Diceros bicornis minor: one gene and its partners. The main gene of each other region encodes a partner of the protein of the gene in region 2 in a complex. Links are inferred from orthologs where the notes say so. Each region holds a gene or a part of one and is shown on either strand. Other genes may lie near its edges. The genes, in order: SARNP, CHTOP, THOC2 and THOC6.

Region 1 (7,492 bases), on a different chromosome or scaffold from region 2:
AGCAGGAGGGATGTGCATCTATGACATGCAACTATCTACGGGGGCTTTGGGGGAAAAAAATAAATAAATAAAATTAAAAAAAAAAAAAAATCTAACCGGTGAAATCTCTCCCTCTCCAGACCCCATTCTCGGTACTGCCAAAAGAACACAAAACTGATCATATCAGCTCCTCCTTTCAAATTTCCAAAGGCTCCCCATCTTCTGCCTACATGACAAACACTAAACACCTTACACAACTTAAAGGGCCCTTTTCAATATCACTCCAATCTACCTTTATAGTCACACAGTTCACCGACTTTCCTTTCCATCTTCAACCAGTAACATATACGCGTTACGCTTCAATATTACAAATGTCTCATTGTTCTAAACACTCTGACACTAGTTCTGACACTTTGACCTTGTCGTTCTCTCCTTGCAGTAGTCCTTTTCTTCTTCTTTTTTTTTTTTGGTGAGGGAGATTGGCCCTGAGCTAACATCCATTGCCAATCTTCCTCTTTCTGCTTGAGGAAGATTGTCCCTGAGCTAACATCTGTGCCAATCCTCCTCTATTTTGTACATGGGAGGCTGCCACAGCATGGCTTGATGAGTGGTGTTGTGCAGGTCCGTGCCCAGGCCGCCAAAGCAGGTGATCTTAACCACTACACCATGGGGCCAGCCCCTGCAGTAGCCCCTTTGCTCACCATTGACTGGAGATCTGGTACTATTGCAGTTCAAGGAATTTTCACCCACAATTCAGTCTCTTTCCAACTGTGTTAGAACGACTGCATTTCTACAGAATCATCAGAAATTTGCAGTTGACGTGAACTTACATATCAATTCAGATAGAAAATATTTTTCCTTCCTACTTCAAAGCTTGTTCCTTTCCTCTGAGAACCCTACTAAAGCCCCAAATTCTCCTAGTAAAAATGGAAAGACTTTTTAAAAAAGAGATAAAACCCTAAGTCAACCCAAAAGTCAGGATCACTCCATCAAGATCAACAGTGGAACCAAACATTAACTGTCCTGGAAGTTAGAATGAAAGGCATGGGTTCTTAACCGGAGGTCCATGGACTCCTCAGGGCTATAAGGTAGTTTTATGAAGCCCCTCAAATCGCATGCAAAGTATGTGTACATGCTTTTTTCTGGGCAGAGGGTCCATACCTTTCATCAGAGTTTCAAAGATATCTGTGACCTCCAAAAGGTTAAGAAGTGTTCTAGAGAAAAAGCAAAGACAAGCAAATGTGATTAAAAGAGTGAATCCTTTTCAGGCTGTCAGGAGTGCCTCATGCTCTTTCAGTCTATAATACCTGAAATCAGGTCAAAGGACATTATCCAACCAAAATCAAATTTAATATAGACCTGACAAACACAGGTTTCATGGAAGAAGGAACTCCATAAACCAATACAAAAATCCACAAACGCAAGTCACAAGGCTGATGACTTAACTTCAGGAGCTTCAAAAATGGGACTAATCGGAAGAAAACATTAGATCTTCTATTCATATTTCCTTTTTATCTCATTCATTCAAAAATTCCTTTTCTGTACATCTTTCATAACATACATAACAGTATGGCAGTACATAATTTATATAAGTAAGTACTATACATATAATGGAGGTGACTGCTCAATTTTTTTTACTTATCGTGATATTACGACACTACCGATATAATCTACACATTTCAGTACCGCTAAATTGACAGTAACTCCAGGATAACACAAAAACCCACTAGTATACTTTAGAATCCAAGCATAAGAAATCCATTAGCTTTCACAGAAAGGCTAATTGGTGTCAACCAATAAGTGACTAAAAGAAGCTCTCCCTATCCTTACTCTCACACTTTTTTTTTTTTTAAAGGATCAGTTTTCGGATTCCGCTAAATCAGCCTGGTTTATCCAAGGTTCCCAGAACGATGTGACCAAAACACCTGATGGGAAAACTACTTGTGAAACCACAAATGGACAACTAATCAAGATATTCTCAATTCACCCTAAAAGAAACTACTCTTTTCTTCCAGGAAAATAATCAACTAAATGTGAGAAAACTACCAAGATTCCCAAAAGACACAACTTAAAACAGCTTCTGTGGTGGAGAGTGGCACCCAGCGGAGACACGAACAGAGGCAAGGTCCATCCCCGATATGAAACGGGACAGAGATAACCCTAACCTCGGAAGTGCTTTTCCAAAACATCCCAGCTCTGAGCGAGTTGTCCCTCGGGTAGGGGATGCGGGGGCGGGGGCGGGGGGAGGCTGGCGGGAAGAGAACCGCGTGAGAGAACGCGAAAACTTTTCGGTCTGCGGGATCCGTGCCTTCACTAACTCTAAGGTCTCCGAAACCCAGGCTTCCACGCGGAGGCCTATCTTCGGAGGCTTCTCCTCAGGTTTCAAAGTTCGCCCCGGGGGCGTAACCCCACCTAAAAAAAGGAGTGGAAGCATTTTCTGGATCACGTTTGAGACCTAGACAGACGGAAAACACAAAGGTGCCACCACCTGCTAACGGGAATCTCAGCTTCGGACGACAGACAGGGGAGCATCAAGCCAGGGAAGAAAAAGGGGTGCTAGGTCCGGCGTGGGGCGAAGAGGAGCGGACCACTGACGTAATGCAGCTTCGAGGAGAAACGAGGAGGAAGGATAACAGGTTGAAGGCGCTTACACCAGCCGGTGGGGAAAGGAAACGGACGACACAACGATGAGGAAGGGAGCCGGAATAACGCCAGACAGCCGTGAGAAGAAATGGGAAATTAGGCAAGGCGTATGGGAAAGATAGGAGGCACAAAAGAAAAGAACTACGAGGGGAGCCGGCAAACGAAGTGGAAAAGCCGGTAAAGAGAACATGTAGGAAAAGGCGCAAGCCACCAGCAGAATTCAGTCCCCAGAGAGCCCAGCTCAGCCCTTCCCCGTTCCCGCTACCTTTAGCTTGTGCAGCTCCACCGTCTCCGTCGCCATCTTGTTACCCCTCCACTCCGCCAGGCCCCCACCCGCTGCCTCCGCCTCCCGGAGCTCCCGCCTGGGCGCAGCCAGCCACGGCCGACCAATCGCTGCCACTCTTACTCCCACCTCGGACCATCAACTCTCCCCGTTAGTCAACAGCTGGCGTCGCTCTCACTCCTCTAAGCAGCTCTCCCCTCCTGTCTCTGAAGGTGGGACAGGGTGGAGGGCGGCTTCTGCACTTTCTGAACGACTTAAGTGGCGACCAATTGTGCGTCTCCAATGCAGACCGCCAGCCAATGGGTGGCAGCAGCGCTGATTCTGCTCCACCAATCGGGAGAGTGCAGATGGGCGAGGGCGGCTGCTTCCTGGAGATCGCAGGTGTGGAAGCGAGCCCTGCGCCCCAGGCTGGACGGGCTTCTGAAGCAGGCAGGTAGGGGCTGCCGGGAGACTGGAACGGGGTGCCGAGAAAAACGGTGGGAGGCAAAAGGGGAGGGGGCGGTGAGTGGAGCGGCGGCGAGTTAAATACCGAGAGAAGAGCGCTGAAGAGAGCCCGGAGGGGAGCCAACGAACGAGAGAGGGAAGCTGGGAGGAGCACAGGGCGGGTTCAATACTAGGATTCAGGGAATTTCAGGTAGAGAGGGGCGGATAAGAGCTGCTTCTTACTAGGCATCATCAACGGGCCAAGTTCAGACGACCAGAGCCGCCCCTGAAGTCGGGGCTAGGGCTCCATCTCTCGAGACGCTGAGCTTAGGTCTCATCCTATCCAAAAGCCTTGGTCAAAGTCTGGCAGCGCCCCAGGCTTGAGAGAAGGAATTGGGGTGCTGGCTGCTTACGTGCCAAGAGGTTGACAGAACCGGCAAGCCCCTGAGGAAAAGGTGGGGATTAGAAGTAGCTTTACCCTTCTTTCTCCTCCGTAATGATTCATTGTTTCCCATGACCCTCTTCTGGAATTCTGGGTGTATGTAACCTCTCATGATTTCTTATTAACGTCTTCAGGAAAGTAAAGTGAGATACTAATGTTTCCCTTGCTCCTTGAAGCAGGTGCCCCAAGCTTAGGCTTACTCCTTCAAGTTACAGTTGAAGTGTAAGGATCAGAGTAAAAATTACCATTATATGTCTCTAAAATGCAGAGAGGACTCTTCGTGCCTTTTAAGTTTTTTCCCCCAAGTCTTCAGTTTTTCCTTTGTGCATGATGGGGAAGTTCTTTCATTCTAATAGAGTTCAAGGGATTTTGGCTATTCAGAAGACAACTTCGGGAACAAACTCAAAGAGGGGTTGAGAGGAAATTGAGTTGGACTCCTGTCTGATCCCCTACTGTGGTAGGATGAATGTGGGGGTGGCACACAGCGAAGTAAACCCCAACACTCGAGTGATGAATAGCCGGGGCATCTGGCTGGCCTACATCATCTTGGTAGGACTGCTGCATGTGGTTCTACTCAGCATCCCTTTCTTCAGCATTCCTGTTGTCTGGACCCTGACCAACGTCATCCATAACTTGGTGAGCACTAAACCATGCCCTTTTACCCACCCCAGGCCTTTCCAAACCAAAAACAATAAAATCATCAATTATTTGGGGATTTATGTCTTCCTTTTGGGATCTTAGCATAATTCTTTGGCTGAAGGACTACTTTCTGCCCCCTCACACTGCCCCCTTCCCTCCTCCCAGGCTATGTATATCTTCCTACATACTGTGAAAGGGACACCCTTTGAAACTCCTGACCAAGGAAAGGCTCGGCTACTGACATACTGGGAACAGATGGACTACGGGCTCCAATTTACCTCTTCCCGCAAATTCCTCAGCATCTCTCCTATTGTACTGTGAGTCCAGGGGGAGATATGGGAGATGCTCCAAGAGCCAGGTACAAAGGCCCACAGGGAAGCTTTAGAAAAGCAGACTACTCATTCAGACCCTTTGAAGATATTATGGTATACTAGGTCTAAATCTAGAGAGAGTAGTAAAAAGTAGAATACAGTACTCAAGCATCCCTTGCTGCCTCCTTAGTGGTAGGGGACTGAGAAAAGATAAAATACCAAGTAAAACCAAATAATTTTACACTTCCAAAAGAAGTGAATAAATAAAGGTAGAACTGATGTAAATCTGTAAAAACTAACAGTGGGGAGTGGAAGCAAAGAGGACTCTAACAGTCATATAGGCTAAAACTGCTTCAGCTGTCATTTGCCACATGTCATTAACAATTAAAACACACACAAACTAACTTATAAATCTCCAGTTAAAGGTGCTATTTGATTATCTCCCCAACCCCAAAGTAAATACTGTTACTAGAGCTGGACTATTTCAGACATCCTAGGACTATTTCATTTAAAATAGAAGAGAAAGTCACTGGAAAGGCATGAATATGGATAGGGGAGGCCAACTTCACTCAACCTATTTCTTCTCTCCCCAGCTACCTCCTGGCCAGCTTCTACACCACGCATGATGCTGTTCACTTCCTCATCAACACAGCCTCATTGCTCAGCGTACTGCTGCCTAAGTTGCCCCAGTTCCATGGGGTTCGTCTCTTTGGCATCAACAAATACTGAGGGATGGGGCTGGGGACGACGTTGGAACAAAGGACTGCGACATCCTTCCCTTCTCCATACTGTCTTCTATGTCTTGAAAGCCTCAGAACTATACAACCTTTCCCAAACTCCCAAGAAGAGAATAGATTGGAAAATGCAGCTCCCTGGGCCAAGCCCTGGTAGGAACAGGTTTCTTTGAATCAGGAAAGGCAGGTGAGGTAAGGACCAAATCATTCTCATCCACAGCAGGAAGCCATGTTTGGGCAGCTTTGTTTGGTAATTAAGTTTTTCCATAGCTTCCACCCCCACTACCTTCTAGCTCTGTTCTGCTATGTATGTTCCTTATAATAAAGATCATTTTTTTTCAGATATGGCTACAGTTTGGTCAGCAGGAAGGGTAGGAAGATGTCCTCATGAGGCTGGGGAAGAAAGATGGAACAGTGATTTACTGTACAAAACTTCTTTAAGGTATTTTTTTATCCCCTCTCCCTTGGTCCAGTAGGAGGTGCCCTTCACGCGCAGCTAACACTTAGTAGAGAAAGGATTCTCAAATGAGAAAAAGGGCTCCAGCTATATGGGCAAAGAAGAGAGGGAAGATACAGGTTGCCAGTTATATATTTATAGAAAGATAATCCCCTGGCTTTAAATAGATATGTACATACAAATATGAACAAACTTAAAAAAATACAAACCCTTGGATCATAAGGGTGCCGCTGGGAGCCCCTTTATCCTTCCCCCTCACCCAAGGGCAAAGGGCATGAGTCGCTTTTTAAAAATTACTAGTTTTGGCCATCCCTGCAGCAACAAGCATGAAGTTGGGTGATGACCCACAATGGTGAAAGTCAGAGGAAAAATTCAGAGTTCCCACTCTCTGAACTCTAAATATCTCCTATAATTAGGGCTACATGCTTTCTTGTTCTGTCTTTTATCTAGTATACTGGAGTAAAGGAGGGGGCTCCCTTCTGAAATGGGTCAAGAACTAAGATAGTTTAAAAAGAGGAGAAAAAGTCATCTGCTCTGGAAGCAAAAGACAAGACAAAGGCATACAGACCCTAGGGAAATACCCGGTTCCCACACCACTATGGGGAATACTGTCCAGCCCAGGCCCAGGCCCTCGATTCTTTGCTCTAGACACCCCCTATTTCTTTGGTATTGTCAGAAGACAAGATTCAGTTCCTGGGTGCTGGTGGAGGAGGGAGAGTGGTTCCAGGGCTTCCTACAAGTACTGAGTGAACAATTTGAGCTTAAAATTTTCCCTTTTTTAAATATTTAAAAATAAACAAATCAAACTCCATCCTGTGCTGTACACAGCCCTTTTGACTCCCTGACATTGATCTGAGGAAAGAAGAGACGGGGTGTCAACGTTGGAAGGGCCTCCTCACTTTCTTCCGCCGCTTCGGTTTGGCTTCTCCCTTGGGTACTGTGCTGTTGGGCTTGGAGGCTGCAGTGGCCCCAGGGCCAGGCTGAGGAGCTGCAAAGAAGTTTCCGTTAGACATCTGGCCTGGGGGTACTTGAAAGATCCGGCTCAAGAAATCCTGAAGGTCAGCAGGAGGGGCATCTGGGGTGGCTCTGAGAGGAAAACAGAAAGAATAATGAGACGAGATATTAAGAGTCATATGGTTTCCTATGTTATCTATTTATACCTAAGTTAAAGATCTACTGGGTTAGTTGCCAAACTTCTTAAAGGGTGAGACATCTAGGTGTCCTAAACAGCATGTTATCTGAAACCATATTCAGAACTAGAATAGTAGATAGATTATTGAAAGAAATACCACCTACCTCTGCCGCCCACTGGTGCCTGGAATCCGAGAACCAAATGAGATGTGATAGGGGACTCTGTGAGTATCTGGGGAGATTCCCACACGCTGGCATCCAGCCCACTCTGCAAGCATGAGAAATAATTAGCCAAAACATCACAGTTTTGAGCATTTATGAGCCCATATGTCTAGGGGACAGATGCGTACCTGTGATGTCATACACTTTTCCATCCATCAGCGCAAAGTAGGTGATCTTGAGGCCCAACATGCTTGACTCTGCCCAAAAGTCTCCTTCCTCAGCAGGATG
Region 2 (7,538 bases):
CCCGAATATTCACTGGCATCGGCTGTTTGTTCTTCAGCATATTAGTAAAGCTTCAAGGTCGAACAAAATGGATGTTTAAATAAAAGCTTTATTACAAAACATTTATTGGCATTTTCATGGCCTGCTAGACCAGGAGCTCCAGATCCCACGAACTTTTAAGTAAAGTGGTACACTTAGATCAAGGCTGATGTGGGTTAAAGACTCCTCTGCTTCCACAAACTTGCAAGAATCAGAAACTTAGAAATGCAGCTAAGTGCAGCACATTCAATCAAAAGTGATAACAAGGGCTCAGGTAACGGCTTTTAGAGAGATGGAAGGCATGAAAAACACGCAATAAGCAGATAAGATGACAACAAGAGACAGAAGATGTAGTTTCAAAGACAAAGAAAGAAAGCCAAAACCTTGGGGGACCTGAGGGAGTATTTTAAGGGCAAATATAAGGAAGGACTAGAGCACCTTCAAAGCCCACGGAAATAACACACTCATATATATTATGGGAGTGTATCACATTTTCTTATATATTTGTTCACTTAGTAACATGTGAACAGAGAATTAGTATATCATACCCTAAGAGTTAAGAAGCACATATGCCTCAGAAAAGGCAAAAATAAACACTGGGGAAATCTTTCAGGGGTCTAACATCAACTTAATAAAATCACTGGTCAAAGGTACTGAATGAACAAAGCTCCTGGAGATAGAAACTGCTGTTAAATACCTTAACTTTTCTTAGCCTCAAATGATTACTTTTTCTGACTCCAAATGATTACTTCTGAAAAAGTGTGATTCGTTCAATCATTTAAGAGCTTGTGAAGACATTCTTCTATTATTCCTGTCAAGGTAAGTTTAATGGAATGGAAGAGAAGAACACTTAATTGTGAAAGAATCCAAAACAAAAACAAACTTAAAGCAGAATGGAAAGAAAGTGAAATGGAGCAAAGCAAGTGCCTCTTACAAGGCCCAAGAATGACATTCCAGGGCCTTTGGACATATTCATAGCTTGCTACCTGCCTCTTACAGGCCAGACACAACACTGCTGGCCTTGGACTGGGCAGCAAGCCTACTGCAGCCAGGGTACCATGCTACCGAGCTGCACCACCCCTGTATCAACGTAAAAAAATGTGAAGAAAAGGGAGGGTGTGAGAAGTCTTTTTAAAATACATCCCACCAGATAAATATCTCAGACAGCTTAACATAAAAATCTACTGATGAGGGGTTTTGAAACAACCGCCCAATCTGTTTTGTGTACCACATAAGATGCAACTAAGAACAGAGGTCTGTAGCCTTCTGTTGGTATTTAGTTTAAAACCGGTTTTTGTGCAGTGGACCCCAAGGCCAATTTAAGTAATGTTTTCTTATGAACGAGCTGAAGTTGCCGTTGGCTGCCTCACCGCTCATTTAGAGACATCTTGGTGGTGCTTTTTAGCACAACTTTCGGCGCTGACTGTGCAGCCATCTTCAAATCCCGAGAATCTACAAAAGGACAATGGGCACAAAGAGCAAATCAGAATAACAACCACCTCATTTCTGCTAGGGCCAAAGGCCCACACTCACAATGAATGAAAAGGCTTGTATCAATGACTACTGAAGATCACACTCGAACTCATTTTGGGTGCTTAAATTTATAAGACAGTTACCGCAAACTAACAAACTTCAAGGCCACAGGACAGAAAATATGTGCCAAAGCCTCCAAAATGGCAGCCTTAGACCTAGCTAAAGGAAGTATAAGAGTTTGGCTTTTAATCTAGAGCAGTGCTTCTCAACCCTGCCTGCAAGGAGCTTTAAAAAAAAGATACAGGGCCACCCGTGGCTTAGCGGTTAAGTGCGTGCGCTCCACTACCAGCAGCCCGGGGTTCGGATCCCCACGCACCGCTTTTCCGGCCACGCTGAGGCCATGTCCCACACATACAGCAACTAGAAGGATGTGCAACTATGACATACAACTATGCACTGAGGCTTTGGGGAAAATAAAAGGAGAAGGATTGGCAATAGATGTTAGCTCAGAGCCGGTCTTCCTCAGCAAAAAGAGGAGGATTAGCACAGATGTTAGCTCAGCTCAGGGCTGATCTTCCACACACACACACACACACACACAAAATACAGAAGCCTGGCCTCAAACCAATTAAACCACAGTCTCTGGTGGTGAGGTCTGCGGATCAGCAACTGGAAAGAAAAAAAAAAAGCGGAATTCCTAGGCGCTTCTCACGTGCAGCCAAATTGAGAACCACTCGTCTAGAAAGATGATACAGGCATAACTAGTTTCAACCTGGCTTTCGACTCCCAAGTAGGGCCTTAGCAAGGGACTAGGGACCCGGGGGAGGGAGTAGGAAAGGTTTCCTAAAGGGGCATTCACCTGGGAGTTAGCTCCCAGAGCGCGCTCTATAAAATGTAACCCTACCGCCCCCATTACTTCCCAACCTTCCCTGAATCCTGTTGTCCTCATTTCATCTCCCTGCCATCTCAAAGCCCTGTCAACACGGCCAAGTTTGCTCCATCTTCCTTCCCAGCCCTATCAAACGCCAACCTTTTCCCTCAGCCCCGCCACCAGTCTCCAGCGCGGGCGCTCCCCCGCCTCCGCGCAGGGGCTCCGCCCCCTCCCCGGGCCCCCGCACTCCGACACCCTATCTGCTTCCACATGCCGTCGCCTTCCGTGCCGCGTCCGCCGGCCCCTTCCGCTCCCCAAGACTTCTCCCCTCCTTCTCACCACAAACACGTACCGAAGGAAACAGACGCCAGTGCTCCTCCCGGGGCTGCCACCACGGCTGCGGCGGGCGGGCCGGGGGCCGGCCGAACCTGAGCAGACGGTGGAGGGGCTCGGCTTCACTTGTGGGCGGTTGGTCAGGTGTGTAAGCGGTAGACTGCTAAGTTAGTTCGTTGTTGCTGGCTGGCTGTCTGGTCGGCCGGTCCGTCTGCTCGCCCGGCCTGCCCTTGCCTGCCTTTCGTCGGTGCCACCACAGCCGCTGCCGCCAACTCCCGCTCGTTGTCCAAAACAAAATGGCCGCCACGCCCAGTGCGGAGTGGGACCGGCTAAAATGGCGCCGACGCAATTACGTCAGGCGTCCGGTCCGCACACGACTAGGGAGCGGGAAGATTTGTGCTACGCCTGCGCAGAGATGGGGGCGGAGCCCTAGTGAGAAGGCGGGGCTTTAGCAAAGGCCCTGTCTGAGGTACACCCCGTGCCCCGCCCACAAAGGGGCGTGGCCAATGGCCTGCCCTTGGGTCTTGCGAAGGGTTCGCTTTCGAGGCAGGGTTGTTCGAGATCTGGGCGGCTCAGAGCGGATTTGGTCCTGATGAAAAAGGTTTACGTGTTTCTTCACTCTCTTTCCGGTTCCCCAAGCCAAGGCAGACCGTCTAAAATTCTTTACGCGGGGCTTTCCTCGGTCTCTTCCTTACCACCGGGCCGAGTAATGAGCGCTGGCTCTCCTCTCGTCATCATTCGCCCTGTTCAGAGTTGTGGAGTGTCATAAACGGCCCAGCCACAGCCTGGGGCCGGTGCTGGGAGCACACGTCTACTGGAGCCTGTGCCAGTCACCACACGCCCTCCGTATTTTCCTCTTCACTTCCCTCCCCAAGTTGGCCTGAATATTGTTAAATCCTTATTTGGGGGGGACCTTTGTGTGCCTGCATCCCCTTGCATGTCCTCCCTCCCCATCTGCCATCCATGCTGAATTTTGATGCAGACCTATACAGGATTTTTCTTATGCCTGGGTGCACAATAAAATGCTCAAATGTTTGAAGAATGAGTAAATCAGCACATCTTCGACCCTTCCTCCCCCCCATACAGGCACTTCAGGATCCTTTCATTTTCTTTCCTAGCATTTTCCTGTGTGTGTTTAATGGTCTAGCATCCTTCCACCTTACTTTACCTAGGTGAGGGTAATGGTCGCGTTTTGTTCACTGCTGTATCCCCAGTTCCTACACAATGTCTAGTACATGGTAGGTCCTCAGGAACTATTCTTTCAAGGTTAAAGGGAAATTCTTTCTTTTTCTGTCTTATAGCTGAGAAGCTGACATCTCCTGTACTTCCAGCTGGAACTTTGAACCCCTACCTTCCTGGGCCATGAGCATTCCTCAAGTAGGAAGGTGTAATGGTCCCTTGATCTCTCTCCAAATAAGACCCCCCCCCCCCAATAAGGCAAGCTGGGATTGAGCAGCCTTCACTTCCCCACTCACTTGCAGACCCCATAGGAGACAGACAGCAGCTGGTGAGAGAGGAGCCTTTAATGAAACATGAGTTGCAGGCCTGGCCCACTACTCTTGCGCCCTTGTTGGAGGAGGGGCAAGGGTGGGAGTGTGGGGAGGGGAAAGTGGGGTGAGGGGGAAGCAGGGCAAAGGGGCAGGTATGGCAGGGTGGAGGGGAAGGGCGCTGCCCACTGGGGCTGTCTGCTCAACTGTTCTCCCAGAAGAAGTTGTTACAGGCCACTGTGAGGGCAGCCACCAGCACCACATACTCCTGGAAGTCCACCTCCCCATCTCCATTCTCGTCTAGCTCCTTCATCACCTTGTCCACGGCATCCGTATCCTTCTGGGCCTGTGGAGGGAAGAGATGGAGAGGTAGGTGTATAGGGAGATGAATAGCACTGAGTCAGGGGCAAGGGAGGTGGCTGATTGGGGAGAAGGAGGCAGAGATGAACAAGAGGGACTAATTATGGGACTCTTCTGCTCCCCTCCTCAAAACTAACAAAACACATGTGGCCTCCTGTTGCCTACAGAATAAGCTCCTTAACAAGGCAGAGTAACAATAACAACGTCAAGTACCGTATGTTGAGTGCCTACAATGCCACAAGCACTACACTAGGAGCTTTACAAGCATTGTCTAATTTAATTCTAACACAAATAGTATGAAGTAGGTTTCATTATTCCCATTCTAGAGAAGAAACAAATTGACAGTTGGTGGTTAAATGATGTGCCCAAAGTCACACAGCTAGAAAGTGGCAGGGCCAGAATTTGAACCCACGTCTAATAAAACCTCAAAGCTGGTACACTTTCTATTGGCTTCTCCTTTACTATATATAGCATGCTGCATATTCTTCTTTCTCCTATGCTTTTGTTCATGCAGTTACTTCCTCCTAAAATACCTACATTTACCTTAATAACCTTGCGATGGAAATCCATAGCTCAAGTGCCACCTCTTTGGAGAAGCTGTCCTACTTTAGTCAGGTTAATATTCTCCCATAAGCCTTTCTGGCACTTCTGTTCAGGCTTTGCGTACTTCCTGAGTGGCTGGCCCAAGGCTTCAGAGGGAGGAAGGTCTCACTGCCTCTGAGCTTCCTGTCAGCAGACTGGGGGCCTCTTTTGGTCCTTCAACTCTGTTCTTTCCTGAATATGTCACTTCCTGGTGTTCATGGTTTACTTCCAAGTGTCAGTCTTTCCCTTCTAGACTGTGAGCCTTGTTATCGATGCATCTACATAGAGTCTAGCACTTTTAACAGGTGACCAATAAATCGGCATTTTGACTTAGGGGAGCCTGGAAAAACCCAGGAGAGAAGCCTGGGAGAGGAAGGAGATGGTTGGTCTGAGCTGGGGTGGGGTGGGGAGATGGCAGAGAGGTGCCCACTCTGTTCCCCCACCCCTTGCCCATTCCACCCCATACCCCCACTCTGTGCTCACGTCCAGGAAGCCAGAGAGCTCGGTCTGCAGCAGCTCTTTCAGCTCCTTCTTGCTCAGCTTGTACTTGTCCCCCTCCTTGCCCGAGTGGGCGTGGAACACATTGATGAGAGTCTCCATCGCCGTCTCCAGCTCAGAGCCCATTGCGCAGCTCACCTACCCACCCCCACCATGGAAGTGAGCTGAGGACCAAGCTCAGGGTATCTGTGGTCCAGTAGAGGGGAGCCCTTAGCCATGGCCCTGGTCCCATAGCTCGAATAGCCATGAGATCAGAGCTCCACTGAAATTTATCCTTCACTGAGATTTTACGATGTGGGAGAACCCAACAGACCTAAATCCAGACCTGTATTCTGTGTCCCTCAATCCATACCCCAGCAAGAGGGAGTCAGGGTTTGGGGCATGGAGGTAGAGCAGCTGGAGATGGGCTGGCTCTGGAGGCCTGCAGAGGAGTCTGCAGTGGCTCTTGGCTGCCTGGGCAGACACTGAGGAGGGTGGGGCAGGCAGGCGGGGGTGGTCACAGGACCTGGCCAGGCTTCCTCTGGCTCTGTTATTATGCTGGACCTTGCCTGCCTAGCACAGCCAAGCTCTGCTGTTGGCAGTGATGGCTGGGCTCCCCTTTATAGCCTTGTCTCTTTTGCCCATCCCTAGCAAGGAGTCAGTCTGGTGCCCTCGGTCAGCCTGATGGAGAGGGTGGCAGCCTGAGTGTCTGGCCCCAGGTTTCATGAGGACGGGGGTGGGGCGGGTCTCACTGCCTCTGAACTTCGTGTCAGCAGACTGGGGGCCTCTTTTGGTCCTTCAAGTCTGTTCTCTCCTGAACATGTTACGTTGGCTTCCCTGGGGTTCACCTCTACTACTTCTAGTTTTGTTCCTTTTACTTCTCTGCAGAATCAGCCCTTCCATCGGGTGGTGGTGGGAAGGGAGAGAGGAATGTCTGAGCCTTTTCCCTGGAGTCAGGGCTCCCAGGAAGGGGGAGAGGAATCCTGTGGGACTTGTCCCTGCTGCTGGCCACTCCCACCCCCAGCCTGACCTAATTGATGTGGGGACAGTGGCAGCAGGGAGAATGGGCTAAAATGTATTGAGGGAGATAAAGGGCTGAGTGCACGGGTCCTCTGAGTTCAAGGGGCTGCGAGAGAAGAGAAAAATGGAAGGGTCTGTTGAGGAGGAGGGACTGCCAAGCAGGGGCCTCTTTGCCTTGGCCTTGGGACAATCAGCCCCTCCATGGTCTCAGGGGGCAGCTCAGGTGTCTCAGATCAGGTGTCCCCATCCTTCCCCAGGCCTGATGGGCTGGACAATGGGCCCTGATCAGATGACATCCCAGCTCTTCAATGGGGCCCTTGTGAGTGTCACCTGAACTCCGGATATGAGAAGCAGTTGTCACAGAGACATGGGGGAGATGGAACCCAAGCTGGGCTGATGGCGGGGATAAGGGGGGTATGTGAAGGAGGGGTGCTGGTGGCTAAGTTATCGGCCCCATCCAGGATGGGCACCTCAAGGTTGCCTGGAGCCCTTGAGCAGCCTGGGATTTTGTGTAGGGGCCATTCTGAAAGGACTTGGGCAGGGAGGGGACAGATGGGAAAGCAAAGAGGAAAGAATTGAGGGGAAGAAGAATCTGGAGGTCTGGGCCAAGGAAGAGGAGGAGGAGAAAGGGGACTCACGTGAAGGGAGGGTTGGGGTTGGGTACAGTATCCTAGTGCCCCCTCTTCCTGATATCACACGGTCCATGCTCTGCCCTCCCCCCCCAGACTTCCCTGGAACCTGAGCTCTTGGCAAGGCTGGGTGGGGGTGGCAGAGAGACCGAGGCTGAAGCAGGGGTGGGCAGAAGCAGCTGTTCCATCTGCTTTCTTATTCTTACCCCACTGGAAGTGAGGCGAGGGCTGGGTCCCCTGCCAGCCTCAGGGAGATTGAGGGAACCTTGGGAGGACACTTGAGGGCTC
Region 3 (7,689 bases), on a different chromosome or scaffold from region 2:
ACATCTCATATGTCGCTTTAACACTACTATGCTGAAGTAGACTACAACTTCCAGAATACTCACTTACACTGGTAAGAAGTGACAGACAAGAAATGAACTCACAACCTCATGAAACATATCATGCATTTTTTTAAAAAAGGTAAGTTTCAGTCAAGTTAAAGCTCATCTGCTAATTTATCTCATTAAAAAGGAAAAATCCACCGAAGATATAATTTTAAATATTGGTCATATTCTAAAAGGCAAATCTATAAATGGATTCACTAATAATTTAGTGGCACATCACCTTCGTTTTTAACATTTCCTGTTGCTGGTTTATATTTAAGAGGGTCTGTTTTCAGACAAAGGAAAGGATATTTTGTAATATATTTACAACACCATTTGTTCTAAAAAAATGAAAATGCTAACATCTATCTTTAGCAAGATACAAAAACTCCAAAGTTAGACTATATGCAACCAAGTTTTCAAGGAGAGAAAAGAGATCAAATAAATGAAGACTAAGTACTTGATGGTGATGTGTTTGACTACTTAAAATACTTCATTATGTCACACAACTAACAACTTTAAACTCTCTTCATACAACAGAACACAACTATAAATCTGACTATACTGATTTGGATCTACTATAATTCAAACTACATTCCACAAGCCATGCACTAACTACACATGTATAAGTCCTAATAACAGTTTTGAAGCAGCTCTTCAAACACAGGAACTATGATGGATCATAGTTCCATGGATCTTGTAAATATAAATAAAGTATATTATGTATACTTTATGTATGGATAAAGCATGGATCTTGTAAGCACGGGTCTTGTAAATATACATAAAGTGAACCCAAAATTCCATTTTTACTAAGGTATTTCAAGCTCCTACATCACTTTGTTTTTCTCCAACCACTGCCAGTCAGAAGTCAAGCAGAATTTCACCTCCTAGCCCTGATACTCATTCTAAAGTGAGAGTAATAATAGTAAAACTGTCAAAAACAGTTAGCTGAGCAATCTACAAAGATGACAGTCCCTAAATAACTAAGTTGGCTTTAAAAGTAAACAAAACAACAGTGAACTGATTTATCAGTTTTTTGGAGTTATCCTAATCTAATACAGACGAAGACGATGGTTTGGTTTCGTAACTTACCACCTTGCCTTCCCTAGACACAAGGGACTTAATAGCTATTTGTTAACTAGCACGTACAAGGATTTGGAAAATGCTCCTAACAGTTAAAAATGAATGTTTATCAAATATACTTCTCTGTCAGTTAATAAACCAGTAAGCACTCCAAGCATATGCTAGAAAGGCTGGGGGGAGGGGGGGTGAGCCAAAAGAAATATGAGACATAGTCCCCACTCTTCAAGGATCTCTCAATTCGTTAGAGTACAAGAGTATACATGAAAGAGTCAGAGACCAATTAATTGCTAACCTGAGTGGGACACTTTTTAAGCGCAAGAGCTGTCCTGAGAAGTTTAAATATCAAAAGATTGAAATAATAATATTCCTTTTAATAGCTATCACTTGAGCACTTACTATAAGCCAAGTGCTCTACAAGCATTATTTAGTCTTCACAACAGTCCTTTGAGTACTTATTATTCCCAATTTACTCAAGGGGAAGCGGTCAAATTGGTTAAAGAACTTACCCAAGGTCACTCAGCCAGTTAAGTGGCTAAGACTGCCGCTTACCCAGGCAATCCAATTCTAGAGCTCACACTGTTAAGACTTCCTAAAGCAGCGCGAGTGCGGGGGAGAGGGGGGTCATATAGGCTGGCAAAGTTACACGTTCCCCGCGTGGCATTCCAAGTAACGAAGTTCCAATGATTTGTTATTTTTCGCATCAGCAACCGTAAACTGACTACTTGTGGGGGAGGGAGGGGAGCAACGGCGAAAACGGCTAACGAGTTTAAATTCAAACAGGGTTGAGCTTTAGCTAATAAAGCGATTCAGAAAAGGAAATTAGAAATAAGTTATTTGTTTTTAAATAAGTTATTTGTATTACTGCTTAAACGTTTTTTTTTCCTTTCCGAGAGAATGAGCGCTGAAATTTGGGGCGAGGAAACCGCGGGTATGGCAAATTACTGTTTTCTGTATTACTGAAAAATAAAAACAAGTTTTGTGACTGAAGGAAACGCGTTATTCTAGGTACTCGAGAACCTTGGAGAGTTGCCAAAATTAGTTGCAGTCCCAGGACAAAATGGGGTTTAGGAAACATTTAATGACGAAAGTTGAATCCAACCCGAAATGGCTCTAAGGTGGAAAGACGGAGCAAAGAAATGCTGGTAGGTCTTCGGGGAAAGCGGCAATCCCTGCTACACTTCTCCCACGGCCAGCGGCGCCGCGCGAGGCCGGGACCGTCCGAGAGACCGCTCCCCGGGAGGACGAGAGGTGCCAAGCGGGGCTCTTCGCGACGCCCGGGGCTTCGCGGCGGCGGGCGGAGAGGAGGGGAGGGAGTCCGGGACGGTTCGCCCTCCTCGGACTTCGGGCAGAGGAGGCGCCGGGCTCCAAACTGCGGAGTCGAACGGGTGCAGAGTGAAGAAATGGGACAGAGAGAGATGGCAAGTCCGAACCCCCCCGGCGCGGCCCCGTAAAGAGAAAGGAGCCAAGTGAGCTCAAGCGAAGAGGGGGACAAAAAGAGACCGAGCGGGAGCGCGGGGACCCGCAGGGGCGAAACGGGAGTTCTGCAAAGAGGCTCAAGGATGGCAGGCTACGGCGGGCGGCGGGGATTTCGGGGAGGCCAGGGAAGGAAGGAGGTCGGCGGCGGTTACGAGCACCTCTCCTCCCCGAGTTCGAAACTCCTAGCCACATCCACAACCGCCGCCCGGATGGGGGAGGGGGCACCTCTTTCCCCCCCAACCACCCCCCACGTGTGAGAGCGCGGCTGACGCCTGGGCCTGGCCCGACCGTGCGCCCGCCTCCAGCCCGGACACTCACAATTCGCCTCTCCCTGATTTCTCCCAATTCTTTATCCACTCTACGGGAACCAACACCGTTGCGGCCGCCATCTTCCTCTCACTAGTAGCAGAGGCCCGGATGTGTAGCACGCGAGCGAGGGGTCAAAGGGGAGCACCGCCCACGGGGAATGCCGGGAGCTGCGAGTTCGGTTTTCGATTTCCCGCCCCACTTTCGTCCCCACCCCGCGGAAGCCCGAGGCCCTGCCGCCAACGAGGTGGCCGAGACCCGTGGGTCCCCACGCAGGCCGCGCCCTCTGCAACCCTTGCCCTCGCTTCCCTTTAGAACAGGAAAAATGCCATCCCCAGGCCGACTCCTAGCTCCTATCTTCTTCCATAGTATCTCCTCCAGGCACTAATTCAAACATGGATTTTCAAGCCCCTAGTATGTGCTAGACATTGGGGATAGAGAAACGATAAGCCACGATGCCTACCCTCAACGAGCTCACAGTCTGTGGGAAAGACAAATATATAAGCAGATCAATTACAATACGCCCTGCTAACTGCTGAGATAAAAAAAATTAATCGAGAAGAAGCAGGCATTTACTATGGGCCAGGCCTTAAGCTAGTACAAGGGCTACAGTCTAACGAGGAAGAGAAAAATCATCCCTGGAAAACACTGGCAGCCACCAGTGCTGTGTGCTGAGCTACTGTGTCTGCCACTGTCGTTGTAACCTTAGGCAAAACTAGGGGGCGCAAGTACATGAGAAACAAATTGTTTACATTACACAGTCTCAAAGTATCTCCCGACAAGAAACTATTTCAAAGGGTGAAATAGAAACTTGACAGTGGGAAAACATGGCGGACACTGTCCTAATTATGATGAAAATAAGCATCCCCAGAAATTAGACACATGGGCATCATGTGCCTCCTGATAAGGTGCTAAGAAAGACACTAACCAAATTTGTAGTACTGTTCATCGTGCCAAAATTCACATAACCTGTATTTAATCATGAGGGAACATCAGACAAACCCATATTGAGGGACAGTCTACGAGATTACCAGCTTGCACTCTTCAGAATCGTCAAGGTCACTAAAGACAAAGACAGACTGAGGAACTCTTCCAGATTAATGGAAAACAACAGATAGGACAACTGATCCCCAGCCAGAAAAAACATTTTTCTTTTGCTAAAAAGGGCATTATTGGGACAATTGACCAAATTTGAGTATCTATAGATTAAGTAATAACATTGTATCAATGTTAATTTCTTGAGTCTAACATTTGTACTGTGGTTATGTGAGAGAAAGTCCTTGTTTAAGAAAACACCCACTGAAGTGTTAAGAGATAATGAGGCATTATGTTGCAACTTACTCTAAAATGTTTCAGGAAAAAAACATAGGATGATTAAGAAAATGTAACATATTAACATTTTAGGAATCTAGGTGAAGGACATACAGGGCTTCTCTGTTGTATTTGTGCAACTTTTCAAAATAAAAAGGTTTTAAAAATACATGTTTGGCAGAAAATTTAGAAAAGAGAGACAAACCAAATGAAAAAAATCTTACTACACATATATTAACATATGAACTTTAGAACTAGTATCTTCTAAATTTGGTAAATTTTGCCAAATGGGCCAAGTTCATTTGCTTTGAAAAACTGTTCATGGGGTAGGCTATATTCAGAATAAGTTCTGGGAAAATGCTACGTTGTTTATGATTGTTTTTCATCAGCTATATCTAATCTCCTAATGTCCTGTCTGATTTTGAAATTCTAAAGCCACCCATTAAAAAATATACACCGTTCAGTTTCAATGATATCTGCTCATAAAAACCTTTTGCCATTTCAAGGAGGTTCAGAGATATGAGTGCCCTCTGATCTTTTCATTTTTCTTTATTATGGAATATTTCAAAAGTGAACAGAATGGTGTACTGAATCCTCATTGTACCAACACCTTCCCTAAAAATTTTTGAAATCATTATTACAAGATGGCTTCTGTGATACAAGAAGCACTATCTTGCTGCTTATGTATACTTCACTGCATTATCTACAGTCGTGGGAACTATTCATATTTGGGGCCAGATAATTCTTTGCGGAGGGCAGCTTAGCAGCATCTTGGCCTCAACACACTAGATGTCAGTAGCACCCCCCGCACCAGTTGTCACAATGTCTTGAGACATTGCTAAATGTCTCCTGGAGTGCAAAATAGCCCCCTGTTGAGAGCCACTGAGCTATACAATATTCTACTGTATTGTGGCTTACCTTGCCACTGCATCACAGTGATTTCTCCTCCCAAACACTGAGTTGTGTGCAGTATGCATACTACTCAGTATGCCACAAATGTGGTGTGACCTGACTGCAGTGATGCCCTTTGAGGCCTTGGTTTTCCCTTCTCCTGGAGCCTGCAGAACTAATTTTACATGGCATGATGACTCCTTTAGGAATTCCTCAGCGCTAATTGGCTTTTTGCTCTATAAGATTGCAAAGCTATCATGTCTTTTGCATCCTTGTTGTTGACTTGCCTTTTCTTTGCTATCAGCATCTGGTATCATCTCAGCAGCTGGGAGTACTATTCTCTGGTGATCTCACTGGTTCATGGCTACTGATGAACTAGGCAGGAAATGAAGTCTCTGATGAAGGCTAGGGATTGGGTAGTTTCAGTGTTGACAGTCTGATGCATAGATAGGTTGATTTTAGGTAATTGTAAGGTCAGTCTTGTTACCATCTGAGTGAAAACAGATAACAGGACCAAGAAGGAAGCACATAAGGGCAAAACAAGACAAAATAGTAAAATAATCGAAGAATGAATGCAAAAGCTTTGCCCTTTGTGGGACTGTCCCCTGGAATACTGAGTATTGGTAATGGATTTTTATTAACTAAAGACTTAATTATGTTAAATATGCATATTAAATTTTCTGGGATAACCACTACAAACATAAAAGGATATTATATATCTTCCAAACTACCAGAGGGGAAAAAAATTGAAAGAGAGAAAGAGAAAAATATCAATCAATCCAAAAAAGGCAAGAAAGGAGGAAAAAAACTTTGGAAAAGCAGGACAGAGAGATTAGAGGAAGATGGTAGATTTAAACTTAAATATATCAATAATTGCATAAAATGTAAATGAACTAAATGCCCCAGTTAAAAGTAAAAATTGTGGGCCGGCCCAGTGGCGCAAGCCGTTAAGTGCACGTGCTCTGCTTCGGTGACCTGGGATTTGCAGGTTTGGATCCCAGGGGTGCACCGATGCACCGCTTGTCAGGCCATGCTGTGGCAGCATCCCATATAAAGTAGAGGAAGATGGGCATGGATGTTAGCTCAGGGCCAGTCTTCCTCAGCAAAAAGAGGAGGATTGGCAATGGATGTTAGCTCAGGGCTAGTCCTCCTCACAAAAAAAAAAGTAAAAATTATCAGTCTAGATTGAAGAAGTCTAGCTATTTTTAAGAGACATCCCTAAAACACAGGGACACAGAAAGTTTGAAAGTAAAAATGATGGGGAAAATACACCAGGCAAATACAAGCTGTTATAGCTAGGTTAATATCCGACAAAATAGACTTTAAGGGAAAAAAATAATTACTACATTTAAAGAGGGTTACCATATATTGATAAAAATTTCAGCTCACCAGGAAAATGTAATAATCCTAATCTTGAATGTACTCAACCACTTTGAAATATGTGAAGCAAAAATTAACAGAAATACAAGGAGAGATAGACAAATCCACTACCACAGTGAGAGTCTTTAATTCATCTCTCTCAGAAATTGATAGATGAAGCAGACAAAAAACTCAGTAAAGATGTAGAAAATTTGAACATCAAATGAACAAGTTTGATCTAGTAGATATACATAGAACACTGTACCTAGCAACTGGAAAATAAGCATTCTTTACAAGAACACGTGAACGGGCCTCCATGGACAGACTGTTCACTGATCAAAAGCACCTAGCCAAGGGGACAAGCAGGGGCCAAAATCCATCCCACACTCTACTTGCCAAACCACGTGTTCTGGTGTGGTGCTGCATACACCTGGAAGAAAGGGCACATTCTCCTAATTCACATAAGAGCAAGGCATTATCTAATGGTGGTCCAGCACATGGAACATTTATGAAAGTTAATCACATACTAGGTTAAAAAAGCGCGGATGTCAACAAATTTCAAAAAATCAGTCTCACACAGCTCACATTTTCTGACCACAATGCAATTAAATTGGAAACCAATACAAAAAGACAAAAAAAAAAAAAAAAAACCTGTGTTTGGAAAATTTAAAATATACTTTGCAATAAATCACAGGTCAAAGAAAAAAGTCATACTAAAAATTAGAAAATACTTAGAACAGAACAATAATGAAAATATTCCATATCAAAACTAATGAAAAAAATGATGAGTTGCAGCCAAAGTGGCATTTAGAAAGAAATTTATGTCCCTAAATCTTTGTATTATTAAAGAAACAAGGCTGGAAATGAAAAAAGGTAAGCATCCAATTTAAGAAGTTACAAAAACAATAACAGAGTAAATGAAAGAAAGCAGAAATAAGGACATTTTTAAATAGTAAATATTAATGAAAAGGAAAATGTCCAATAGAAAAGATTAATAAAGATTAATAAAACCAAAATTTGGTTGGTTGAAAAGTCTAATAAAACTGACAAACTTCTAGCAAGACAGATTATAAAAAAGAAGAGAGGGGGCCAGCCCCGGTGGCCTATTGGTTAAGTTCGGTGTGCTCCACTTCAGTGGCCTGGGTTCAGTTTCCGGGCACAGACCTACACCACTGTCTGTCAGTGGCCATGCTGTGGTGGCAGCTCACATACAAAAAGAGG
Region 4 (6,860 bases), on a different chromosome or scaffold from region 2:
AGGGGGCTGGTGCCCTCCCCGCCCCAGGAGGCTGGGCAGGGGCTCACTGGGAGCAGGGGCCAGCTTTGGGGACCAGGCGCCCCAGGTGGTGGCGGGAGCAGGTGGGGCAGAGCTGTCTATTTTTCTAATCTACATAGGTCTATCTTTTCTAAGCACTAGGCCCCCTGGCATGCTCTACGACAGGGATGGGGGTGGGTATTTATGTATCAAGATCAGACAGAGTAATATATAAATCATTACACCGACCTGGCCTCCATTCTTGGGAAGAAAGCACATGGAACAAAAGCCTGAAATTTTATTTGTAAAAAAAGAAATAAAAACACTGCAAATCCCTGGAATGGGAGACTGCCGAGGGAGATCAGAAGGACAGGGAGAAGGCGCGGTAGCCCAGATTGGTGAAGACATCCACCCGGCAGCTGTTGCCCGCAGCTGTCAGGACCTGGAGGCAAGGTGGGGCTGACTGACCTGCCCACACTGCCCTGGCCTCCCAGGCTCCCCATAGCCCCTTGCCGGACCCACCTTGCACTCAGGGGCTGCTGGCTGCTGGTTGAGGCTGAGGCTGAGTAGCCCTGGGGAGGAGCCAGGCACCTGGGCCTTGAGCTCCCCGCTCAGTTGCCACTGGTTGACGCAGCGGCCCTGGCCAGCTGACAGAATCTGTGGGGGGCAGGGAGGGGGATCAGCGTTCAGGGCTGGAGAGGAGAGCCAGACAGGGGTGGCATAAGCAAGACAGAGGGCCTCACCAGGTCCTGGTAGAAGGTGACGTGCTTCTGTGGAGCCCGCATAGGGAAGATGGTGGTGGGTGTGGAGGATCGGAGGTGCCACAGAGTAAGTGCTGGGCCCCCTCCACAGACCTGGACAGAAAGGTGGGGGTCCCCAGCCACTGTGAGCCACAGGCCCTCAGCTGGCAGGGCCCAGAGCTGCCTCCCCATCCTGCCCTCTGCCCGGCTCACCATCCAGTCTGAGTCAGTTGCCAAACATCCGATCCAGCGCCCATTGTGGGGCCTCGAGCACTCCTGGGAGGGAGCAGGGGAAGAAAGGAGGAGGTGAAGACGCAGGGGATGCCCAGGGAGAAGGAAGGGAGGACGCGTGCAGTGTGCCCTCACCTCGTGCTTATAGACCTCGATCGTCTGGACCTCCTTGGCCGTGCGAAGGTCTGTGAGGGAAGAACCATGAGAGGCATCCTACTTGCCCCAGTCTCCCTCACCACCGTCTTTCCCTCCAACCAGACGTTCCCTTACCCCAAAGTCGCACAGCTCCATCCTCGCCCCCTGACAGCACCTCGGGGCTCCGCTCCCGCAGTGCCAGGCAGTGGATGTAGTCCGTGTGGCCCCGGAGGGCCCGCTACAGGGAGAGGGCCAGTGTCGGGACAAGATCTGGGAAGAAGGCCCGGTGCTGCCCTGACCACCCCAGCTCCGTGGCCATCTCACCGTGAAGGCCCCCGTCTCAAGGTCCATCGTATGCAATTGACAGTCTCCCCCCGCCAGGATGAGGGAATTCTCCTGCAGAGGAAGGCGAGGTGGGGTCGGAAGTCAATGTCAAATCAGGACAGGGAGAGGGGAAGGATCAAAGATTGGGCCAAGAAGAGGGCAGGGCAGAGCCCCAGTCACAAAGGGCTCAAACCTTGGGGACAAGAAGCAAAGCATTGATCTCAGGCACTTCCAGGCTGGTCCTGGGGGAGGGAAAGTGGCGTCAGCTCTGCTGAAGGGTACCTTCACCCCCACATGCCCCTGCCCACATGGCCCTGGCTCACCTGTATGGGGGCTGACGACGCCACAGCTCCTTACAGCCCTTGGTGGAGGAAACACTGGGTGACTTCAAAGGTTCTCTCTCTCTGGGGCTGGGCGCCCCAGCACTTCCCCCAGCCCCACGCTCCTTACCTTCTTGAGGATCTCCACCCAAAGCCAGGACTTCACCTCCCCATCCCCAGCGCTGAGCAGCTGCCGATCAGTGGAGACCATGCTGTAGACGGGCCCATCATGGGCTAAATGGAAACGCAGACCCTGAGTGACCCTGTCCTGCTCCCCTCCTCCACGCTGGGGTCCCCGAAGCCAGACTCAATGGCTGCACCCACCTTGGAAGGTCACCACGGGCTTCTTACTTTCCTCTTTGGCCTCGGAGCTCAAAGCAGCAGACAAGCTGAAGGGAGAGCGGAGAGGGTCAGAAGCAGGGGGCATCAGTACAGGAGGGCCAGGTGCCAGAGCTAATGGGTGGTGGGGAGCAGGGCCAAGGGTACCTGAAGATGGCTATCTGCCCGTAATTATTGCCGGCGGCAAGGAACTTCCCGCAGGGTGACACACTCTGGGAGAAAATGGTCATGTGCAGCCGCTGCAGGGCCTGAAACACTTCCACCTGTAGGGAGAGGCTGGATGAAGACCATCTGGGACCTCCAATCCACAGACTCCTTCCTGCTTCCCCTGCCGCCAGTCCAGCTTCCCACTGCACAGACTTCTCAGCCCTCCGTTGAGGCGGCCCACCAAGTGGGCACCTGCCCTCACAGTCCCAGGGGTGGCTCCAAGAAGAGGGCGAGGCGAGTAGAGTTGAGGCGTGATGCCTATAGGACCTTGAGCAAGCACCCAGCCTCTCGTCCAAATTTCCTCAACTGTCAAATGGACCTCACAGGACATTCTGTCAGATTGGATGAGGTACTGTACACAGAGTTTCACACAGGGGTGGCTCGTAGAAAGCGCTTAAAAAGTGGCTCTATTACCCCAATACAGAAAAACATGCTTACAATCCCTATCCTCCGACTTTCATGTTAGTCCTTTTAAGGATGTCTGGGTGATTCTCCCACCCCCGCGTCAGAGTCCGAGTCCCAGCCCAGAGCCCACCCAAAACAGGACTCAGGGCACGACTCCTCGCCCCCCCCTTCCGAGCCGGGCATGGACTACAAAGCCCAGAAGACACTGCGCAACCACGCCCGCCTCACCTGACCGAGAGGCACCGCCTGCGGCACAGCTCGCTCCATCACGAGAACTACAAGTCCCAGAGTGCTCCGCGCGCGACGCAACCTCACGAGTCCGGACGTGCCCGCGATCCGCTCCGCTTCGCGGCACCCCACCTCTCCAAGACCGCTGGCAGGCCCGGCGCGAAGGCGGCCGCCGCGTACTAACCCGAGCCCCAGGAACTGAGGTGACCGCCGCGAAGATCCTCGACACTAAGTAGCGCCCACCGCAGCCCCCCCTGAGCCGGATCCCCTCCCCCACCCTGCCGAGCAGATCCGCCTTCCAGCCACGCGCCGCCCGTCTTTCGCGCCTGCGCGGAACCTCCCCGCTGCGCGCGCCTACGGCCGCGCCCCTCGCGTTGGGCCACGCCCTTAGAGGCTCCGCCCCTGTCGCCTGGATCCCACCCCTGCCCTCGGGACCCCGAACCCCAATGATCCTGCAGCAGCCCCTGGAGCGAGGCCCCCTGGGTCGGGCCCAGCGCGATCCGCGGGCTGCCTCGGGGTCGCCCCGAGGCGTGGACACGAGGTGTGTGTGGAGGGGCCCTGGCTGGGCCTGGCCCAGGAGTGCAAGAGCTTTGGCTGGGGGCTCAGGGGAGGTCTGCAGGGTGACACGCGATGGGGCGAGTCGGCAGGGCTTGTACATGAGCTAAGACAGGGTTGGAGGCTCGAGACTGAGACTTCCGCGGCAGGCTGCTGGATGGCCAGGGAGAGAGGGGTGACTTAGGTGTCAGCTAAGACAGGGATGTGCTGGAGGCTCCTGGCTGACCCTGCAGGCTCAGGCAGGCAGATCCTCGGGATGGGGCCAAGAGGGTGGGGTGCACCTGGTTCTCTTTTCTTCCCAGCTCCCCTCTCCGAGGAGCCGTGCCCATGAGCACCAAGCGGCGCCTGGAGGAGGAGCAGTGAGTTTGGGGGCAGGGAGGGACTCCCAACAAGACCTCAGGTCCCCATCAGACTGCCTCCCCTCTGAATATCCCACCCTGCTTGCCTCCCTGTCTCTCTCTAGGGAACCCCTGCGCAAGCAGTTCCTGTCCGAGGAGAACATGGCCACCCACTTCTCTCGACTCAGCCTGCACAATGACCACCCTTATTGCAGCCCCCCCATGGCTTTCCTCCCAGCTCTGCCCCCACTCAGGTAGGCACTATCCACCATCCAGGGGCTGGGTCTTCTGGAGGATCATACCCGCTCCTGGGAGCTAACCTCCAGGCCCTGCCTCATCCTGCTATTTTTAGCTTCTAGCCAACTTCTGTTTCCCATCTTGGCTTCTTGGAAGGTGCCTACAGCAGGAGCCCCTGGTGGGGGATGGCTCTGCCAGGCCAGCCTCAGCCCTGTGCCCTGACTGTCCATTCCTCTTCCAGGAGCCCTTGCTCTGAGCTGCTTCTCTGGCGCTACCCTGGGAACCTGATCCCTGAGGCCCTCCGGCTGCTGAGGCTGGGGGACACCCCCACCTCCCACTACCCTGCAACCCCAGCTGGGGACATAATGGAGCTCTGAGTGCTGGTGGGCACTGCCCCTGCCCACCTTCCTTCTTCCCCACGACAGGGAGACCAGCACCCCCACGAAGGGACCAGCTGCCCTGCTTTTCCTCCATGACCTTCCCCTAACAGAGGAGGACACTGTGCCCACAGAGCCTGGGGTGGGAGGGGCAGGAACCTGGGAAGGGAGGCATTCCCCCCCCCCCACCCCACCCACAGGAGAACTGAATAAAGATTGCTGAGCAAATAAAGGTTTCAGTCTGGAACCTGGGGCCTTTGGGAAGAGGGGGAGGGCTGGGGCGCTGGATGCTGGGATTTCTCCTCAAGATCTTCCCTGGAAAACGGTCAGGGCCCGGGCCAGGTCCTGGCAGGCTGGGCTCAGGCATTGAGAATGTGTGAGTCAGAGCCTCACCCCCGCCCCCGCGGCTGACTCACTGCTCCCGCCAGCTCTGGGAAGTCGGGCTGGGGATCAGGACACTCTCCGAACCATTTAAAGTTAAAGATTCTTTTATTAATAAATTCTCCCTCCCCTCCAAACTTTCTCCCCAAAATAAATATCCCCCCCCCTTTGGGGATTTGGGGGCAGTGTCTTAGGGCCAGCCCCCCCTAGAGGGCCAGCCCCCTAGTGTTAGGAACAGGTCCCTAACCCCCCAGGGTGAGACCCCGTGGTGGAATTTCAGTACATCTGAGTGGGTGGGGCCTGGTGTTGTGTCTGTCCCTCAGGTCAGCCTGGCCCCCAGGCCATGGCGGGGAGAGGGACCCCCTTGTGCAAATGCTGCAGTTCCTTAGTGTCAGCTGTCTGGTGTGAGCCAGCGTGGGTCTCCTTTTCTGTTCTGGAGCCAGAGACAGGGCAGTCAGACACCTTGGAAGTCTCCTCGGAAGCCTGGGCCCAGACCTCAGAGCAGTGATTCACCCGAACCCCATCCTTCCACACCCCTGTGGTTGGAACAGCCTGGCTGGCTCTGGCTGTGTGTCTGGGAGGTAGGGGCTGGCTCCAGAATGAATGAATGAATGAATGAATGATGAGTAGGTGGGGCCTCCTGCTGGCAAGGGGCGCTCACTGTCACTGGATCAGCGCCACGCCAGGACAGCCCTCCCCGCCGGTCTCCTCGATGGGGGCTGCAAGACAAGCAGAAGGGTGGTCAAGAGCAGAGGAGAGGTTGGGGAGTTATGGAGGCGGCGGGCGGGCTGGGCACACTCACTGGTAAACTTCTCTCTCCTGCGGCACCGTCTCCAGACCAAGAAGCCGGAAAGCAGGCCCAGCACGAGGGCCAGGCTCAGAGCGCCCCCCAAGATGGGCCACAGCAGCCGGAAGGAGGCCGGAGGGGCCGCAGCGCCTGGGGGCGGGACTCGAAGTCAGACCTTACCCCTCTCCGGCCCAGCCCCGCCCCCTAGACCTGAGCCTGAAGCCTTTCCCCCACCGTGGCCCCCACCCTGATCCGAATCCCTTCCCTACTCCCGCCTCCCGCGTCCTCGCCCCCGCCATTAATTTCCCAGATCTGAAGCTCACTGCTTCCCTCTCCACCCCAGCACCCCCACCCCCAGTCAGGGGTCCGCTCGCCTCTGGCCCCGCCCCCCACTCACAGCCCAGGCAGAAGTCGCTGTGCGGTCGCGCCGGGCAAGACGCGCAGTCCATGCACTTGTCGAGGTCCGCGCTCCAGGAGCTGCCGCGAGAGCAGGGGGTGGTGCCTGGGGAGGGGGCCGCGGGTCAGAGGCTGGGGGCGGGGCGCGGCTATTCTGGGGGCTGAGGTCAGGGTCGGCCGGCTCGAATAACGTGAGTCACCGGCGCCCTCCCCCCGCATTCCTCACAGGTGACCGCACGCCTCGACCGGGACACGGCGGCGCGGAGGGAGGGGGCGTAGCGCGGGACGCGGGGGGGTGGAGGGGGATCAGGTCCCCACAACCCCCCCTGCCGCCGGCGGGTGACTCACTCCCGGGCACCGGGCCCGACCCCGGTCCCCTCCCCCCGCATAGCTGGGCACTGAAGTCACCGGATGGAAGGGGGCACCCCACATGGTATAGGGGGCACAGACCCCCGAGGCTCTCGACACCCCTCCCGACTCTTAGGTCACTGGAGCTGGGTAGACCCGGTGTTGACCTGGCTGGGGGCGTGCCCCCTCACCGGAGGAAACATCCCGCCCTAAACTTTTTCTCCACTTCCGAGTCCGGACTTTCAGGACAGAAGCCCCCCGAGTTAGAGAGGCGGGAAAACAGGCCTGAATCGTGGATGAAGCTCGAAGCGGGATGGGACTTCCCCTGGCGAGGGAGCGCAATGTCTGGAGACCACCTGACCCTCGATCCCCACGTCCGCCCAGTCACCCCAGTGCTGCCCCCTCCTCTAGGCCCCCAATGGCGACCTCCCTATCCCGAGCTGGGGGTTCCGGCCCCCACGCCCTCCCGCCCGGCCCCCGCCCCCGCCAGGCGTACCTGGCACCGGCTCCCCGGC

The links.
Region 1: CHTOP (region 2) and SARNP share a complex: the UniProt entries of both Homo sapiens proteins name them as parts of the transcription/export (TREX) complex. The link is inferred for Diceros bicornis minor from reciprocal best matches to the Homo sapiens genes CHTOP and SARNP.
Region 3: CHTOP (region 2) and THOC2 share a complex: the UniProt entries of both Homo sapiens proteins name them as parts of the transcription/export (TREX) complex. The link is inferred for Diceros bicornis minor from reciprocal best matches to the Homo sapiens genes CHTOP and THOC2.
Region 4: CHTOP (region 2) and THOC6 share a complex: the UniProt entries of both Homo sapiens proteins name them as parts of the transcription/export (TREX) complex. The link is inferred for Diceros bicornis minor from reciprocal best matches to the Homo sapiens genes CHTOP and THOC6.

What each region holds. Positions count from the first base shown.
Region 1 is NC_080756.1:12,864,864-12,872,355, reverse strand, and holds the start of SARNP (SAP domain-containing ribonucleoprotein), read right to left. Parts: upstream 3,015-7,492; 5' UTR 2,924-3,014; coding exon 2,888-2,923; intron 1-2,887. Other genes in the region: ORMDL2 (ORM1-like protein 2), read left to right, coding at 3,205-3,338, 4,232-4,406, 4,575-4,726, 5,314-5,449; DNAJC14 (dnaJ homolog subfamily C member 14), read right to left, coding at 6,787-6,997, 7,208-7,310, 7,393-7,492. UniProt on the Homo sapiens protein: Binds both single-stranded and double-stranded DNA with higher affinity for the single-stranded form. Specifically binds to scaffold/matrix attachment region DNA. Also binds single-stranded RNA. Enhances RNA unwinding activity of DDX39A.
Region 2 is NC_080743.1:57,860,566-57,868,103, reverse strand, and holds the start of CHTOP (chromatin target of PRMT1 protein), read right to left. Parts: upstream 3,006-7,538; 5' UTR 2,715-3,005; intron 1,471-2,714; 5' UTR 1,454-1,470; coding exon 1,389-1,453; intron 51-1,388; coding exon 1-50. Other genes in the region: S100A1 (protein S100-A1), read right to left, coding at 4,385-4,528, 5,608-5,748. UniProt on the Homo sapiens protein: Plays an important role in the ligand-dependent activation of estrogen receptor target genes. May play a role in the silencing of fetal globin genes.
Region 3 is NC_080781.1:113,613,072-113,620,760, forward strand, and holds the start of THOC2 (THO complex subunit 2), read right to left. Parts: upstream 3,007-7,689; 5' UTR 2,991-3,006; coding exon 2,920-2,990; intron 1-2,919. UniProt on the Homo sapiens protein: Component of the THO subcomplex of the TREX complex which is thought to couple mRNA transcription, processing and nuclear export, and which specifically associates with spliced mRNA and not with unspliced pre-mRNA.
Region 4 is NC_080765.1:45,503,561-45,510,420, forward strand, and holds THOC6 (THO complex subunit 6 homolog), read right to left. Parts: upstream 3,008-6,860; 5' UTR 2,966-3,007; coding exon 2,927-2,965; intron 2,350-2,926; coding exon 2,234-2,349; intron 2,137-2,233; coding exon 2,072-2,136; intron 1,982-2,071; coding exon 1,878-1,981; intron 1,789-1,877; coding exon 1,751-1,788; intron 1,670-1,750; coding exon 1,621-1,669; intron 1,500-1,620; coding exon 1,428-1,499; intron 1,342-1,427; coding exon 1,239-1,341; intron 1,154-1,238; coding exon 1,104-1,153; intron 1,014-1,103; coding exon 951-1,013; intron 852-950; coding exon 741-851; intron 655-740; coding exon 520-654; intron 440-519; coding exon 359-439; 3' UTR 283-358; downstream 1-282. Other genes in the region: HCFC1R1 (host cell factor C1 regulator 1), read left to right, coding at 3,373-3,467, 3,784-3,840, 3,945-4,073, 4,298-4,433; TNFRSF12A (tumor necrosis factor receptor superfamily member 12A), read right to left, coding at 5,478-5,533, 5,617-5,751, 5,999-6,103, 6,842-6,860. UniProt on the Homo sapiens protein: Component of the THO subcomplex of the TREX complex which is thought to couple mRNA transcription, processing and nuclear export, and which specifically associates with spliced mRNA and not with unspliced pre-mRNA.